Linked DNA regions of Tamandua tetradactyla. The protein of the gene in region 1 purifies or fractionates together with the protein of each later gene. This does not show direct contact. Links are inferred from orthologs where the notes say so. Each region holds a gene or a part of one and is shown on either strand. Other genes may lie near its edges.

Region 1 (8,378 bases):
GTGAGTACATCATTTTACATTCTGACCAGTAGTATGAGAGTTGTAGTTACTCCAAATCCTTGTCAACCCTTGTTACTTTTCTGCTTTTTTGTTGTTGATATTTTTATTCTAGTAATCCTCATAGGTAAGTAGTATCTCCTTGTTGTTCCAATTTGCATTTCAATAATGATGTTGGACATCTTATCATGTGTTTCTTATCCATCTTTAGGTTACAGCACTGTCTATTCAGATCCACTGCCCATTTTTAGAACTGTCTTTTCACTGATGTTCAACAATGTTTTGTTTTCAGTGTTCAGTTCTTGCATTTCTCAGGTTAAATTTATTTGTAAATCTTTTATTCTTTTTGATATTTTTGTAAATGGAATTTTCTTAATTTCCTTTATAGTTGTCCATTGCTAGTGTTTGGAAATACAACTCATTTTTTATACATTGCCTTGTATCCTGCAACCTTACTGAACTAGTTTATTAGTTTGAATAGTTCTTTAAAAAGGATTACTTAGTTTTCTATATGCAAGATCATGTTATCTACGTGATAATTTCATGCCTTCCATTTCTATCTGGATGCCCTTTATTTCTTTTTCTGGTCTGTCCCTGGCTAGCCCGTCCAGTACAATGTTGAATAGATTATACTGTTGAATAGGTGAAAGGATATGCTTATTTCCCTTCTACTTAATACAAAAATGAGCTCAAACTGAATCAAAGGTCTAAATGAATAGCATAAACCAAAACTACAAGGCATAGAAGAAAGTATTCATGACCTGGGGTAGGCAAAGAGTTCTTAGACATGACCCAAAATGCATGATTCACAAATGGAAAAAAAATGGTATGTTGAACTTTATCAAAATTAAAAAATTTGCTCTGCAGGTGGCACTGTTTACAGAATGAAAAAACCAAACTACACACTGGGAGGAAAATGCCTTCAAATCATGTATCTGATAGAGGACATAAAATTAGACTACATAAAGTACTATCAGAACTCAACAATAAGAAAACAACCTGACTGAAAAATGGGCAACAACTAAACTAAAACTCAGGTTACAAAAAGGATAAATGAATGGAAAATATGCACAGGAAAAGATGTCTAACATTTTAAGGGCTAAAATGAAACCAGGATGAGATCCATTACACACCTTTTAGAATGAATTAAATAAAAAATACTGAGTATACCCAAGTGATGGTGAGGATGCAGAGCTCTCATGCATTGCTGACAGGAATGCAAACAAGATTCAGCCACTCTGGAAAACAGTTTGGCAATTTCTTATAAAGTTCAACATATACCCACAATGGTACCCAACAATCCCACTCCTGGGTTTTTATTCTAGAACAAGGATTAGCAAAATTTTTCTTTTAAGGGTCAGATAGTAAATGTCTTAGGTTTGCTGGCCATAGTTCTCTGTCACAATTACTCAACTCCTGTCACTGCATTGTAAAAGCAGGTGGCCAGCCCACAGGCCATATGCTGACTCTTACCCTAGAGAAATGAACATCTGTGCTTGTTGAGAAACGTATAGATGGTAAGTGTTCATAGCAACTCTAGGCATAATCAACAAAAAGTGGTAACAACCCAAATGTCTTGCAACTGGAAAATGGGTAACAAAACTGTGGTAGGTCCACAAAAAAAGATTACTGATACAATGCAACAATTTGTAGAGATTTCAAAGGTATTATGCTGAGTAAAAGATGCCACTCTCAAAAGGTTAAATATGATTCTATTCCATTTTTATGACATTCTTGAAAAGTTGAAAAGACAAAACTACAGTGTGGAGAAATGACCAGTGTTAAGGGGTGAATGGAGAGTATGACTACAAAGGGATTACATGAATGAGTTTTGGGGGGATGACAGAGCTGTCCTGATTCCTGACTGTGGTAGTGGACACATAAATCTATACATGTCTTAATAGTCATAGAACTATCTGCCCAAAAAAGGGACAATTTTTCTACATGATATTTTACCAAAGACACCAAGGTAAGTTCTATTAGAAAAGTAACCAAAACTTTGTACGTCCATTTCCTTACCACTTAATCTATCCTTAACCATGGGCAGTCTGGATTTTGCCTGCACCATTTTTTTTCAAAAGTGAACTTTTAGGAACCAAGGGTGAAGAGTTTAAATTTTAATTAAAATTAAAATTTTACAAAATGATATTTGATTAAGCTATTGGAAAACATTGAAGTATGTTTAGAACAACTTGGGTATGTGAATCTATTTTTTCAACCCTAAATTTTATGAAATAGAAATACAGATCAAGCATTTCTTATGAAAGTTTAGTGTCTGATTTGAGATGTCCTGCAAATGTAAAATGCACATCAAATCTTAAAGGCTTAGTACAAAAAAAGAATGTAAAATAGCTCATGGATAATGTGTTTATATCAATTATATGTTGAAATTACATTTTGAATATATTAGGTTGAAAAAAGATTAAAATTAATTTCTCCTGTTCCCTTTTACTTTTTTAAATGTGGCTACTAGAACATTTTAATTACGTATTAGGTCATATTATATTTCTGTTAGCACTGATAGAGGGGATTCCATTTCCCACAAATACATACTAACAAAGGTATATCATACAGATATATACACATATATCCCCTAATTCATGATTTTGTACAAATTTTTCCCCATATGGTTTCAGGCAGCATTGTGCTATCCTGTGATAGTTCCAAATCCTTCCTCAATTTATGTGTGAAAAGGCCCCTTCTGTACATAAAGCAGTTTAGATGGTATGGATATCAAGAGCAGAATGTGTAGGAGCTTCTAATTTCAGAGATGCAGTCAAAGCAAAAGTTTAAAATGAAAACAAGTTAATTATGTGCAAGTACATAATTGTCAGTAGTAATTTGCAGTCATTTGGTTCCTTTTGTTTTTGAGATTTTTTTGTGAACATTTTTAACCTCATCAATTCTAAGTTCAAAAGCCATGAGAGCATTGAAAAGTGCATTATAGTAAGCAGTAGTTAAGGATTCCTATATGATCATACAAATTTGGAGTGCTGAGAAAACGACAGGACAAATTGACAGTATGAATGAGCTGAAGAAGAAAGGAATCATGTGATACATGAAAGATACTGTGTCTATGCAATGGATGGTAACCAGCAACAAGGTAGAGGTGCTTAAGGAGAAGGAAAAACTCCTAAGTTCGATCAGCACCAATATTGGATGATTATTAGCTCAATGTTAATTCAGAAGTCATCAGGAGATTAATCAGGTAAAACTGCTGCTGCTGAAAAATGTCCTAAGTCAGGTTTTTATGGATTCATGCTTCATTCAAATTGATGCACAGCATCAAAATGACTAAAGGAGCAGTTAAGAGAGAACATTACAACCAGGTGTGTGACTTGGGGGAAAGGATAATTCTGTGTCAGAACAGGTTTGGATGGAACTGGTCTATGTTGAGGAAGGAACAGACATCATGAAGAAGAGTGCCTATTTCTAAAGCCCAGAAGAACAGACTCATACTTGATGAAATTGGGTTTTGAAGCTTAATAAACCTACTCAAGGAAAGCATTTGAGTTCCTCAAGAAGGTTCCCTCTTTGGTCAACTTCTTTTCAGTATTTTAAGCAGATTAATCGTTCTTATTTTACTTGGAAAGGGTGCTCGGCAAGTTGCTTTCCTGCTCACTCCTTTGGCTTCCTAATTTGTTAAACTGAGGATGATAATGTATAGTAGTGCCGCTCACAAAGCGGTTGGGGGGATTAAATAAACTAATACATATGAAGCGCTACGAAAAGGGCATGGAACACAGTGCTTAGTTGTTAGCTATGGGTGTTCTTACTAACACTTTCCAAGGCAAATTCATGCTTTTAACTGTCACCTGAGGCTCATGAGCTCCAAGCCAGGTACCAAGTCCACCCTGAATCTTTGACCTACCATTTCTTCTACCTACCAGGCATCTTCAACAGGATATATATAACTGATATCTCAACTGAAATGAATCAATTACTTAAAATACCATCTTCCATTCCAAACCAGATTCTAGTTTATACTATTCTTAATGCACCTCAGTCAGTCTAGAAGCCTCCCAGCAATCTTTTCCTTTTCCCTCATATGCATTCAATATGATCGAAACAAAACAAAACGAAATGCTATTTTTCCATCTTTATAAAAGGTAATACTTGTTCGTTATAGAAACCTTGGAAAATATGGAAAAACCATAAGAATAAAAATTACCCATGCCAAATCTTGTTATAAATGTGAACATATTTCCTGTTTGATATTTTCCCACAAACTCAAGACCCCACGGTGTACACAGACATGCTCGAAGCGTAAAAATGTCTTCACCCCTGAAAACGCCGGCTTTGATCTAAAATTTAAAAATTCAAATTCCAAAAGTACACACTATTGACGATTTGAAATATACAGATGACGTTAACATCTTGAAATTTTTATGTACCCTGTTCTAATGAAATATGCATAAATTTTAGGGCTTTTTATAAAGTTTTCAACAAAAATCAACATCGTCTAAAACAAAGTATTCGAGGCCTACCTTTCAATCACACACCTACAAAATTTCTCAAGCTTTTAAAAACTGTATGCTTCGGATACACAGGTGTCCAACACAAAAGACTGCTCCAATTGAAAGGTTCACCAAAATGGTATGAGTGCTTTTTCCTTCCACACAAATGTGTAATTAAGAAGAAAGGGACAAAACGTTAAAAAAGACCTTTGGTAAATTGATATTTCAATTTGGTTAATATTCCTTGACTCATTTGTGGTATTGAATGTTTTTCCTGTTCCTCATCCTCAGGAAGCCCTGGCGGAGAAAGCCCAAACCTGCAACCGGTTTTAGAGGGCGGTGAGCAAAGAACACCGGGAAGTGGCGTAACTGCACCAACTCCGGACAAAACCCCAGAAACCAGACGCGACTCGGGCAGTGCGTGGTGGGGGGAGCCGGCGAGGCGCACCGCCCCAACGCGCCACCGTCGTCGGCGTGGCGCACAGTGCTGATGCAACACGCACGTACGTCATGCCGCTCTTCAGTCGGCGACGGCGCTGCGTCACGGCTTTTAGGCGCTTTGCTCCTTGAGCCTGCCGGTCGCTGTGGGCCCCAGTGTCGGCCTTCCGCGTACCGGGAGCTCGGACGTCGGCGCAATGAGGCGCAGCAAGGCCGACGTGGAGCGGTACATCGCCTCCGTGCAGGGCTCCGTTCCGTCGCCCCGAGAGGTGAGTGAGTGCTCAAGAGAGGGGTGGATCTGGCCCTGGGCCAGCGGAGGCCCCGATGCCCGGCACTGGCGCCGGCCTAATGGCTCCCTGCCGGCTGCTGCTTACCTCGTTCCGTTGAGGCGCTAGCCGGCCAGCGCGGTCCCGTGGGTTGCGTGGCGCTCGAGAGCGTGCGGGGCGGGGGAGGCGCGTGTGGGAGGGGCGCAGGGCTCGGGAACCGCGCGCGCGGGGCCCAGCGGCCAGCGAGCGGCCGTTGGCATCAGAGCTTCCTCTTCTTCCTGGTCGGCTCCCGACCGACCTATCTGGCGGGCCCACCAGGCTCGGGTTTCTCGGCAGCTCGCGCACCGTTTATGGCCCGCGCGTCCTCCACCACTCCCATGCTTGGAAGTGGAACCCAGTACTGACGCAGTTTGAGGGTGGGCATTTACTACTGAGACAGGTGATCGTCGTAGTCACCTAACGGAACGGAGCATGGAAAGCCACATTTGCAAGTGCTTGACACACAGCGCAAATGAGACTGAATTCCCCTGGCTTGAGGCGTCCGGCGCTGTATTTATAAGGGTCCTGACCCTCCTTCTGTTGTCCCCCCCTCCCCACCAGGACTCTCTGGAAGCGTCTTTTTTTTTTGCCACTCTACACACACAAACACACACACACACACGTTCCTCGCGAATTCTAAATTTCTAATAGGACGTTGTTACTTACTCTGGTTAAAAATTTTAACCCATTTCCTTAACGTGCTTTTACGGTATTTTTCTTCTTTTAAGGTAAATAATGTGCTAAATATATTTTGGATTCGGCAGAACTTTAGTGATTGGATGTGGAGAGTGAGGAAAAAGGTATTACATGTGGGCTTGCACAAGATCTGGAGTCATTTTACCTGGATTTGGGACAAGTTAAACTGTTTTCTCTTAATAAGGTGGAGGTGCAGCATTGATAGGATAAGATAGGGTGATGCATGTTAGTGCTTGTGCATAGAAGGGCTAATTACGTGTTTGCTGGAATTTATTTTTATTGTTAATGTTGAAAGGAGTTTTAAAAAAAACAAGAAAACGCATGAATGATTGATTATAATAGCAATATAATCTTATTCTACATCCCAGATATTTTTCTTGTTTAGTGTCCCAACAACTGCAGATGCATATCAGGAGGTACTTGTGTAAGGTTTCATAGGTGACTGCAGGATTTTGACATGGGCCAGGTTTATTTTAATTTAGGAACAGTGGATTACGTTATATCCTGTTCCTCAGGAGGGGAGAAATAAGTACCTCTCTACAGATTATTTCAACTGCTTACGTAGACATAAATGTAAGTGTGGTAGTAGAGTGTAGAAGAATCTTAAGGGTTTTTGTACCCTTAGAGTGATGTGACTTGCTTTTTAAACATTTTTTATTTTGAAATATAATGTATATACAAAACAATAAATTTCAAAGTATATTTTAACAGTTATAGAACAGATTTCAAAGTTTGTTATGAGTTACAGTTCCACGACTTCAGGTTTTTCCTTCTAGCTGCTCCAAGACATTGGAGACTAGAAAGAAATAGCAATATAATGATTCATAGTCATACTCATTTGTTAAATTCTAACTTTTCTGTTATAACTCCTCCTTTGATCCTTCTCCCCCCAATGTTTAGGGGTATTTGGGTTATGCCATTCTAACTTTTTTCGTCTTGAAAAGGGGTGTCGACAGCGTGGGATGGGGGATGTAATGGGTTGATGTTCTTGGAGAAATGGCATCTCTGGGTTTCAGAATTTATCTGACCAAGGAACCATACGAAGTTTTTAGATTTCTGAAAAGTAAACTTACTGTGTGCAACTTTTGTAGGATCTCAGATAGAGCCCTGGGTGTTCTTTAGGCTTAACAGGAATGATGTTGGTTGGGGCTTGGCACATCTTGGTAATTAGCAATACCTAGCTGAAGCTTGCATAAGAGTAGTCTGCAGAATGTCTCTGGGCTCTGTTTGAACCCTCTTATCCACTGCTATTTTATTTTGTTACATTTAAGCCCTTTTGGTCAGAAAGGCATTGTCCATTCCACCATCCAGGGCCAGGCTCATCCCTGGGAGTCATATCCCACATTGCCAGGGAGATTCGCAGCTGTGGATGAATATGATTTTTTTTTTTAAAGCAGATTTAGAGCATTGATCAGATTATCTATGGGGACCCTGGCTCCCAAAAGAATGACTAGTCTAGACAGAAGTTAGAATGACATAGGGAATGTTCTTTCAGCTACCTGACTTTTTCATCAAATAAAATAAGGGTGGTGCACAGTTTTAAGGATTTATTATTGTGGTCACATATCTCTTACCCTTGAAGAGTATCCTTTTTTTTTTTTTTAACTTTTTATTTTTAAATACTTTCAAACCTAAGAGAACAGTTAACATAAATAATACGAACTCCATAAAGGGAACTCTGATATACTCCTATTTCCCAGATACTCTTACCCACCAATTTTAAATTTTGTCACATTTGAACATTGGCTAGGATTAATCACATTCACATTATTGCAGTGCCTTTACCGCATTACGTTACTAAAACTTTCCCATCTCTCTAAACAGAAGCCCTTAACCTATTGTGCATCAACTCCCATTCCATTTATCTCCCACCCTGGCAACCTGTATTCTAATTTCTGGCTGTGTGAATTTTCATGTTCTCTGATACTTTTTTTGTAGTTGCCACAGGACTTAAATTTAACATAGAAAATCTATAATAATCTTGTTTGCTTAGATACCAACTTAACTCCATTAGTGTACACTATGTTACTATACTTCTCAGTCCCCCCGCCTTTATGAGTCCAAACTGCTGATTTCTCATGACATTTTATGCATTTGCCTTTTAGCTCCTGTAGGAAGTAAAAAGTGGAGTTACAAATGGTACTAGCATTTATATTTACTCATGTCACTGCCCTCACCAGAGCCATTTGTATCTTCATGTGGCTTCACGCTATTGTCCTTTCCTTTCCACCTGCAGACTGGGTTTAGTATTTCTTATAGGGCCAGTCTAGTGGAAACAAACTCCCTTAGGTTTTATCTGGAAGTATCTTATGCTCTTCTCTCACTTTTGAAAAACAGCTTTGCTGAATATAGAATCCTTTTTTGCTTTCAGAACTTGAAAGATGTCATTCTGTTACCTTCTTGCCTCCATGGTTTCTGTTGAGAAATTGGCACTTATCTTATTAGGTTGACACGTTCATTTTCTCTTGGATTCTGTTTTTATATT
Region 2 (8,367 bases), on another chromosome or scaffold:
ACAAAGAAGGAAACTGGCGCCCCAAAAGGTCAGCCACCTCCCACGGTGACACAGTAAAAGCCAGTGAGGGGACTGAGACCCAAACTCTCAGGGATGAGGCTGGACCAGACATCTGCATCATTAGCAAAATGAGCCCGTGGGCACAGGCTCCTCACTGGCCAGTCAATGCCCATGCTGGCAAGGTGATACCTCTGAGGACAGGCTAACCCCCCACCAAAGAGACCAGACTGTGGGACTGGACCATGGCCTCCCACTCATCCGCCACAGGGCCCTCTTCAGCTCTGCACATAACACCAATACCCTGAGACCAGCCAGCCAACTTCTCTTCCTCAAAAACTGGATTATTTGCAAATGCTGGCCAGAGTAGAAGCAATTCCACTGGAGAATAATCTGTTAATAACCAAACCCCAACTTTAACTCCAGATATAATTTTAAAAAAAATTAAGATGGTTCACCTCTCTCCAGGGAGAAAAAATAAAAGGTCCTAACAAAAATGGCCCTTAAATCTTGACTCTCAAAGTGAGAGTTGGGATTTTCAACTATAGCACTGGCCAAAATTAAATGAGCTGGCACTACCAGGTGTTGGCACAGGAACGAGCAAGATGGCCCTTGTACACTGTCGAGGGTGGGTGAACTGGGGCACACTTTCTAGCATCACTCTGAGACTCTGATAGACATCCCCCCAGATGCCAGGAGGGACTTCCAGTGGAAACTTTCTAAGCCCCACCTCACAAAGGCAGAAACTGAAGTTCCGAATGGGGAAGCAACTATCCAACGTCACATGGAGAGTAAGCAGAAAGCCAGGAGGCAGTGCTCAGGCCCAAGCAGGTGGCTGAAGAACACAAACACCTGCGGGAACTCTGGGACACGCTCCTCCTCACTCTGCTAAGGCCCTACCCTCCAGACACACGCCCCCAAATTAAGCCAAAATTCTTGTGTTGTGCCAAAATGTTTGTGTTTACAATATGAAAGAGCTGACAACAACGGAAATGCCAGAAGTGGGAACTAGTTCAGTCAACGAGAGCAGACGCTTATCGGGGACAGTGGACACGAGCACTTGGAGGCACGAAGGAGACACGTTTGTGGTGCCTGGGAGGGGCTCGACCACGCACCCCAGGGAAGGGCAGTCTGGCTCGGAACCACCACTGGGCCTGCTCGCTGGGCATGTAGAGGGAAGACATGAGGCCCCAGGGAGAGCTTTCTAGCAGCTGTCTGCAGGGAGAAGGGGGAGTCCCATCACTGGAAGACCACAAGTGGGGCCTCAGCCGTGTGCTCGCAGCCCCCAGCCCCCTCCGTGGCAGCTCTGACCCCACCCTGCACTCCAACTGTTAGGGTTTCTCTTCCTCTGTACGGCACTCGTGCAGGAGGGACCACACCAGACGTTCCAGCCAGGCTGGCTCGAAGGCGGCGCCAACGCCCCGGAGACAGATGACCAAGAGCCGCCGGGCGGACAGCCAGTGTGGCAAAGCTGAAAGGGAGGGAGGAGTGGGAGGAGCCCTGCTCCCAGTCTGCCCCTCAGTCAGTCACTCACCAGTGCTAACTAGTACCCATGCAGCCACGCAGTGTTCTACGTGCTTTTTTGGATTAACATGTTTACTCCTCTCCGCAGCTGTAGAGATCCTACTGGAGAGCGAAGCAAGAGAGACTCCAAGCCGTCAAGGCAACTGCTCAAGTCCGGCTGGGAGCAGAGGGACTGGGGGGTGGGGGAGTAGTGAGCAGCTGTGGAAGCAGTAAGCACAGTGGGTCCCTGAGACCTGGGAGCCAGCAGCCAAAAGCCCCACTGGACAAGGGAGAGTAGTCCAGCGCGAAGAGAGCAAGGAGCACATACTGTCAGAGACACCGACAGGTCACAGAAACACCCCACTCCACATCTGATACCCTGCCAGACTTTTCCAAACATACAATCCTCACAGAACCCTTTCTGGCTGGGCAATGTTGCACCCCTAGTTTGCAGAGACAGAAATCAAGTCTTAGGGAGTGCCCTGCCCACAGCCACATCACTAGCCAGGGAGGGGCAGGGTCCGGGTCCAAACCAGCACATCTATCCAGAAAGCAACCCTGCTTTAGGGTTTAAGATTGAGAGGGGTGGGGGATGGGACAGAAACTTGTATTTAAATCACCCCAGGAGAATTACTGCCTAACTACTGCAAGCAACAGATTGCCTAGTTCAACTCAGATACCTTTCCTAGAAGCCCCTAACAGCTCCCTCTTTATGAAAAAACCTGAGGCAGCTTAGGAAGCTAATCTCCTAATGCCCAAAGTCAAAATTCAACAGGAAACAGCCCCACAAAAGCACCCACAGACCTGCTAGCACATTTGCTGAGGCCTTCTGGGCGACACAATAAGGAAGGGCTTTAGGAGGGGGGGCTAAGGACAGGAAGTGAGCGATAGAGGCAATACATTCCAGCTGGTGGGAGAAGCAATCACAGCACTGAAGAGAGAGCACCTGGTTAGAGAGCTGGGCTTGGGGAGGGGACACTGGACAGTCCCCAGCCAGCCGCAGCAGCCATGTGCAAAACCAAGTCACTGACTTCCTAAGGTCTCTGTCCAGGGCCTTTCCTGGACTCAGAGCCAGCAAGACGCTGAAACCATGCTAAAAGAGAAGGAAAGTGATTTGTCTAGCGGCCACACAGACCCAGGCCTAGCCTTTCCCCGCTGGTCAAAGCACTGCAGAGGCTATTACCCCCACCTTATAAAACCGCCACCAGAGACCCTGCCACCCAGATAAAGGCAGGCTGCCTTTGCTCGCGGAGGTCAAGATCTGATCCCACATGTCCCGTCTATGATGCCGTAGGACCCGCCTGCCCGGCTTGCAGGAAGCCACTGGGCTGGCATTCTCCCGCGAGTGGGCCAGCTGCAGGCAAGGGGAGCCCAGCCGGTGCCCCCCTCCCCCCGGTCACTCGGGGACTGGTCCTGCCATTCCTCACGGTCTTGGGAGCGGGTGGCTGGGAGGGGCCGGGATAGGAGGGGAAGCGCCCGGAAGCGGGATCCCCAGGGTCCAGCAGCGGTCCTCGCCGCCCCAATCGCAGGGGCGAGGGAGGGGCGAGGTTCTTCCACTATCAGGGCCCCTCTTCCATCTCCCGGTGCCAAAGGAAGGGTGACCTTGGGCGGCGGCCACCTCCCTCTCGGCCCCACGGAAGCCGGCCTGGCTGAGTCCCGGGCTCCCCCGCGCCAGCCAGGCTCGCGGGTCGGGTCAGAGGCAGGGGTCCGAGCCGGGCGGGGCCCGCGGGCGGGCGTGGCGGCGGCCGGCCCGGGGGCGGCGGGGCGCTCACCTCTTTGAGCTGCTCCATCTCGCCGCGGATGGCCTCGTAGTCCACCTCGAGCTCCTCGAACTGCAGCTTGAGCTGGTGCTTCTCCTCGAGCACCGCCAGCCCGTACTCGGCCGCCTGAATCTTCTCGCGCGTGGTCTCGGCCAGCTCGTGGGAGAGCCGCTTCACCTCGGCGCGCAGCCATTCGGGCTGCGCCTCCATGACCAGCCGCGCGTACTCCTCCTCCTCCGAGGGCGCCGACATGGCGGGGGCTCCGGCAGGCCAGGGGCCGCGCTCGCGCCGCGCTCACCAGCCGCCGCCGCCGCCGCCCATCCCCGACGGCCGCCCCGGGCCGCGGTCGCTCCGCCGTCCTGCTCGCCGCCGCCGCCGCCCGGGGGATGATGGGGGCTGGAGTCCCGCCGCGCGCCGACTACTCGCCCCGGCGTGCCCCGCGCTGCCCCGCCACGCCCCCTCCCGCCGCCACGATTGGTCCGCGCCGTCGACGTCACAGCGGCGCAGACGCCGGCGCGCCCCGCGGCCGCCCGGGCCTTCCGGTCCTCGCGGGCACGGCGGCCGGGGCCCTCGAACGTTGCCCGGTGCGGTTGTCGGGACCCTCCGTGGCGGAGGGCGGCCCGGAGGCCATGCCAGCGGGCGGAGGGGCCCCGGCCGAGGCGCCCGCACAGCGGCTGTACACCCTCGGGCGAGTGGCCCAGCCGCTCTGAGCTTTCCCGTCGGGTCCTGGAGGTTCTGGTGGAGGAGAGTTACCGGCTCTGGGGTTTTTAAGGAATTGTGGGGAGCGCCTGGAGCCCTCTCGGAGGAAACCTCCGCCCGCGCGGGGACGGTCGGCGCGGCGCGCGGTTTCTGGAGGTCCGACACCGGCCCCAGCCGCGCGGCGGAAAGGAGAAGCGCCCCACTGCGTTAAGATGGAGGAGGTGGGCGTTTGGAGTGGGGAAGAATAGAGGGTCCGGTGTCAGGTTTCTGGATTCCCAGAAAAGACGGGGTTAGCCGTATTCTGTGGGAAGGAGGATGGACGTGAATGTTGAGAACAGCGACCGCAAGAGCGCACGCCAAAATGATGACAGGTTGGCAGAAGGGGGGCGTGTAGGACTGGAGGGGACGTTAGCTCCAACTGCTTTCTCGTGTCACCCCTAAATACTTGAGGGGGTACTTGCTGAGAATAAAGACGTAACCACCGTAAGGACGAGTTGGGGATATTTAACACTGACGGATGCCATCCTCTACTCTACAGTCTGTGTTCCGGTTTCCTTGGTGTTCCAGTACTGCCCTTTATGGCACCTTTTTTTTCTGTCCAGGGTCCGATTTCGAATCATGGGTGGCACTCCTTTGGCATGCTTCTTTAAGCTCTAATCTGGAAGGCTCTCTCGGTCTTTCTCTTTCATGACCTTGACCATTCTGAGGAATATAGGCCAGCTGTTTGCACCCTGGCTCTCTATTTGTGCTTGTCACATATATCCCCCTGGAACGATTTAGGTTGTGTGACTGGCAGGAATATCTCAGGAGTGAGGCTCGGTACATCCTACGTGGACTGCATAGCCTTCATTTTGTCCCATTGGTGGTGGTAATTGACATCACCTTAGTTAAGGTGGCATCTGCTGGGTTTCTCCCCTGTCGAGTTAGGATTTTTCTCTTTGTAGTTAGAATCATGGAAGAAGACACTGAAGCTATGCAAATATTCTGTTACTCTTCTTTTACCCACTAGTTTTACCATTAGTTGATATTTCTTGACTGAACTATTACCATACTAGTTGCTTTTCTATTTCCATCGTTGCTTCTCCGTTTATTAGTTGGCTTTGTACTGTAGGGTAGATGTGTTCCTTTTCATCCATTCATCATTGATATGGATTCAAGGATTCCTATTTTACCCATTGGGTTGCAAGCCACTACTCTCCTTATCTGCCCTGGTGCTCCAGTAACCCCAGATGTAGCTTGCTGCTCTATCCTTTCAATATGTCATCTCTTTTGAGATTTCCTTTCTGGCCCACATCACAGGATCATATACTTCCATGTCCCAGACCTGGAATCAACCATTTCTCCAAGGGAAACTGATTTCTTTTAGTTGTTTAAACATGCTCTATTTCTATGGGAAGAATATATCGTATTTTCACTTGTGAAATTAAAAATAATTTTTAATTATTTTAATGTTTAAGGAGTTCAATCATGATAGAAGTAGGTTGACCAGTGGTTCCAGTGTGCTGGGACTATCCTGGTTTTAACCCATGTCCTGGGAAACTGGGATTGTTGTTCATGGGAGATCCTAGGGAAAAGGAGAAGGAACAAGACTTGTTTGAGCAAATGTCTAATGTAGGACGGACTGAAACTCCATGAGTCATTGACTGACCCAAGTCAGAGAGCCTCGGTGGCAATGCCCAGATCTGACCAGACTGGGCTGACTTGGGTGCCCCTTCCCCCATCCTGCCTTCATACAGAGGGCAGATGGTGCAAGGACGGATCACAAGAGCTTTAACCTTGGAGACAGGGTAGTGATAGAAGAAAGTGGGGGAGGCCTCACACATTCAGTCTACAGACAGGGACTCTGTGGAGGCACAGAGACCTGTCGCTACGATCCGGAACATCCTTCAAGCAGGAGAGAAAGCTGCTCTGCTATCTAGGTTAGACCTCTGAGAAAGGAGGCTGGAAGCCATGATGTATGTGATGGGAGGGGAGGGAAAGGGGTGCATCAGGAAAGGCTTCCCTGAGGTGGTGAACACCTGGTGGAGCCCCAGAGAATGCACAGGTGTTGGCCAGTCAAAAGCTGCCAGAAGGAGGGGGGACTTGCAGGGACCAGAAGCAGAGCTGCTCCATATCCATCAGGTCGTGAATGGGTCACCCATTACTGGGCTCCTCCTGGACACCCAACATCACCAGGTGCTCAACATGCATCATTTTGTCCTCACCACCCTCAGAAAGGTGGGAACTATCTCATGTTTCAGGAAGGAGAAAGTCTCAGGGCAAAACCCTTGGTATCGCCTTTGATTTCCTGCTTCTCACACTCCTCTCCCAGTCTGCCAGCAAGGGCTATCTGCCCAAGTTTCAGAACAGACCTCAATTCACACCCTTTTCCCATGCTCCATGCAAGCCATGTCACCTGCCTGAGCTGATGCTGTCACCTCACTGGCCTCCCTGTCCTCATACCCCACCCAGGTCTACCGTCTAAACAACAGTAGAGGAGCTCTTTAGACCCCAGTCAGGCCACATCCCTCCTAGAGTCAGAGGCAGTCCATTACAGTGGTCTCCAAGGCCCTGTGCAGTGTGCTGACTCTCCCCCTCTGACCTCTCTCACTACCCTCTGGCCACCTAGTCTCCCTGCAGTACTTCCAGCAAGGGTCTTTCCTCTTCCCTCTGCCTGAAACCTCTTCCTCAGAGGCCCATGGGGCTCACTCCCTCACCACCTTGGCTTTCCAGTCCATTGTCCTAATCAAATTGGACTGATGTGAGTGACCAAGTCTGTCTCCATGAGCTGAAGGTGTCAGAACACAGTGCGCACAGGAGCCTGCAATAGATGTTGGGTCTAGAGGACCGAGGAGACATGGAGTGGGTGACAAGTGGGCTGGCTCCTGAAGGGTGGGCACCTGTTTGCCCTGTTGGAAGTTGAAGAAGAGCATTCCAGAATGAAGGACCCAGAGAGACAAAGTCGTGGGATCGTGGATCAGTGTGGCATTAGAGGAAGAGAGGGTAGAATGGTGAATTCTGGACAGCCAAGCACGACAGAATGTGTGTGTACATGTGCATATGCATTGGGAGGCAAGGAAGAGGAGGTGGATTACATCAGATCATAAAACTCTGTCATAACAAAACATGTGAGTCATCAGTTTCCAAGCCAGTGTTGACCAAAAATGACTTGGGGCTTGTCCAAACCTAGGTCTGACCTCAGCTCCCACCCTTCCCTGGGGAGCAGCAGCACCCAGCCCTGCCCTCAAGGAGCTCATTATAGAGGGAGGCAGAGGTAAGCTCATCTGCCCCAGTGAGCTAATGGTGGCTGGCACACACAGGCCTTGTTCTCCAGAAATGGGAAGCAGCTGTTGAGAGAAGGTTTGGGTAGAAACATTGATTGGGGATCAAGACCTGTGACAGGAAAGGGAAAGCCGCGAGATGGCCTGACCAGGCTGCTGCCAACCTTTCAGGAACCCAGGTGCCAGGGGTGGGCCTGGCCAGCTCAGCTCAACAGGTTCAGGAGGAGCCATTGTTACATCTTCAGGAATTTTGCCAGCTGGTTGCTAAACCGCTGGGAACTTGAAGTCAGCTACATGTGGTATGATTTATTTATACCACATAAATCAGCAGACATTACAGATTAAGTTTTTGGTCTTGTTTTGTTTTCCCCAAGAGCCAGTTTGCTGACAAACCCCCGCTCTGGAGTGAAATCTTGCCTGGTATGAAATCTTGATGGTTCTGCATCAGCCAACTGACCAGGTCTTTTGCCCCAGGCCCACTCATGTGTGGGCCACCTGGGAAGAACATGTTCTCAAGCAGGGTGGGTCCGGCAGCCACAACCAACCCTGAGGGAGCTTACAGCTGGAGGCTACTGTCCACCACACTCTGGCAGCTGGGCAGGGATTCCCTCCTTGACAGGGGATGTGGATAATGTCTCTGGGTCTGTTGGCGCTCTTGTCAAAAACGGGTTTCGGGCCCTTGCTCAAAGTGAAACACAACCTCCAAAGGGAGACCTGAGGAGTTTTATTTTTCACAAACTTTCCAGAAGATTCTGATATATTCAAGGGAGAGAAAAGCCACAGGGGCATAGCAGACACTCTTGGCTGCCTGCTCCTGGTTGCCCCACTCCTTCCCTGCTAATGGAAGCTGAGCTCCTGGGCATTGGTGGCCCTCTCAGCCCCAGAGGCTGAATCTTTGCTAGCCTCAGGAGCCAATCACATATACCTAGTCTCCTTGCATTCTGGTTTCAGGGAAGGGCTGGTGGCCCAGTTCTGGTCAGCAAGAAGTGACGAGCAAACAGCTGGCTCTCTTATGGGAGTGAATCAAGGCTGGCCTGGAAGCAGGAGGCCAGTTGGATATGTGGTCATATCTGGCAAGAACCACAAGGCCTGACTGCAGACAGTGACTATGGGATGGAGGATACGATAAGGTCTGCTGGCTTCTGGAG

What was found. Proteins that work in one complex are often made in the same cells at the same time.
Region 2: the proteins of E3 SUMO-protein ligase RanBP2 (region 1) and BICD2 purify together in Homo sapiens (affinity purification with western blotting; 3 studies listed by BioGRID and IntAct, with this or other methods). This does not show direct contact. The link is inferred for Tamandua tetradactyla from reciprocal best matches to the Homo sapiens genes RANBP2 and BICD2.

The regions. Positions count from the first base shown.
Region 1 is NC_135343.1:73,416,432-73,424,809, forward strand, and holds the start of E3 SUMO-protein ligase RanBP2, read left to right. Parts: upstream 1-4,984; 5' UTR 4,985-5,089; coding exon 5,090-5,161; intron 5,162-5,266; exon of another isoform or gene 5,267-5,342; intron 5,343-8,378. UniProt on the Homo sapiens protein: E3 SUMO-protein ligase which facilitates SUMO1 and SUMO2 conjugation by UBE2I. Involved in transport factor (Ran-GTP, karyopherin)-mediated protein import via the F-G repeat-containing domain which acts as a docking site for substrates.
Region 2 is NC_135328.1:2,423,410-2,431,776, reverse strand, and holds the start of BICD2 (protein bicaudal D homolog 2), read right to left. Parts: upstream 3,530-8,367; 5' UTR 3,513-3,529; coding exon 3,273-3,512; intron 1-3,272. UniProt on the Homo sapiens protein: Acts as an adapter protein linking the dynein motor complex to various cargos and converts dynein from a non-processive to a highly processive motor in the presence of dynactin.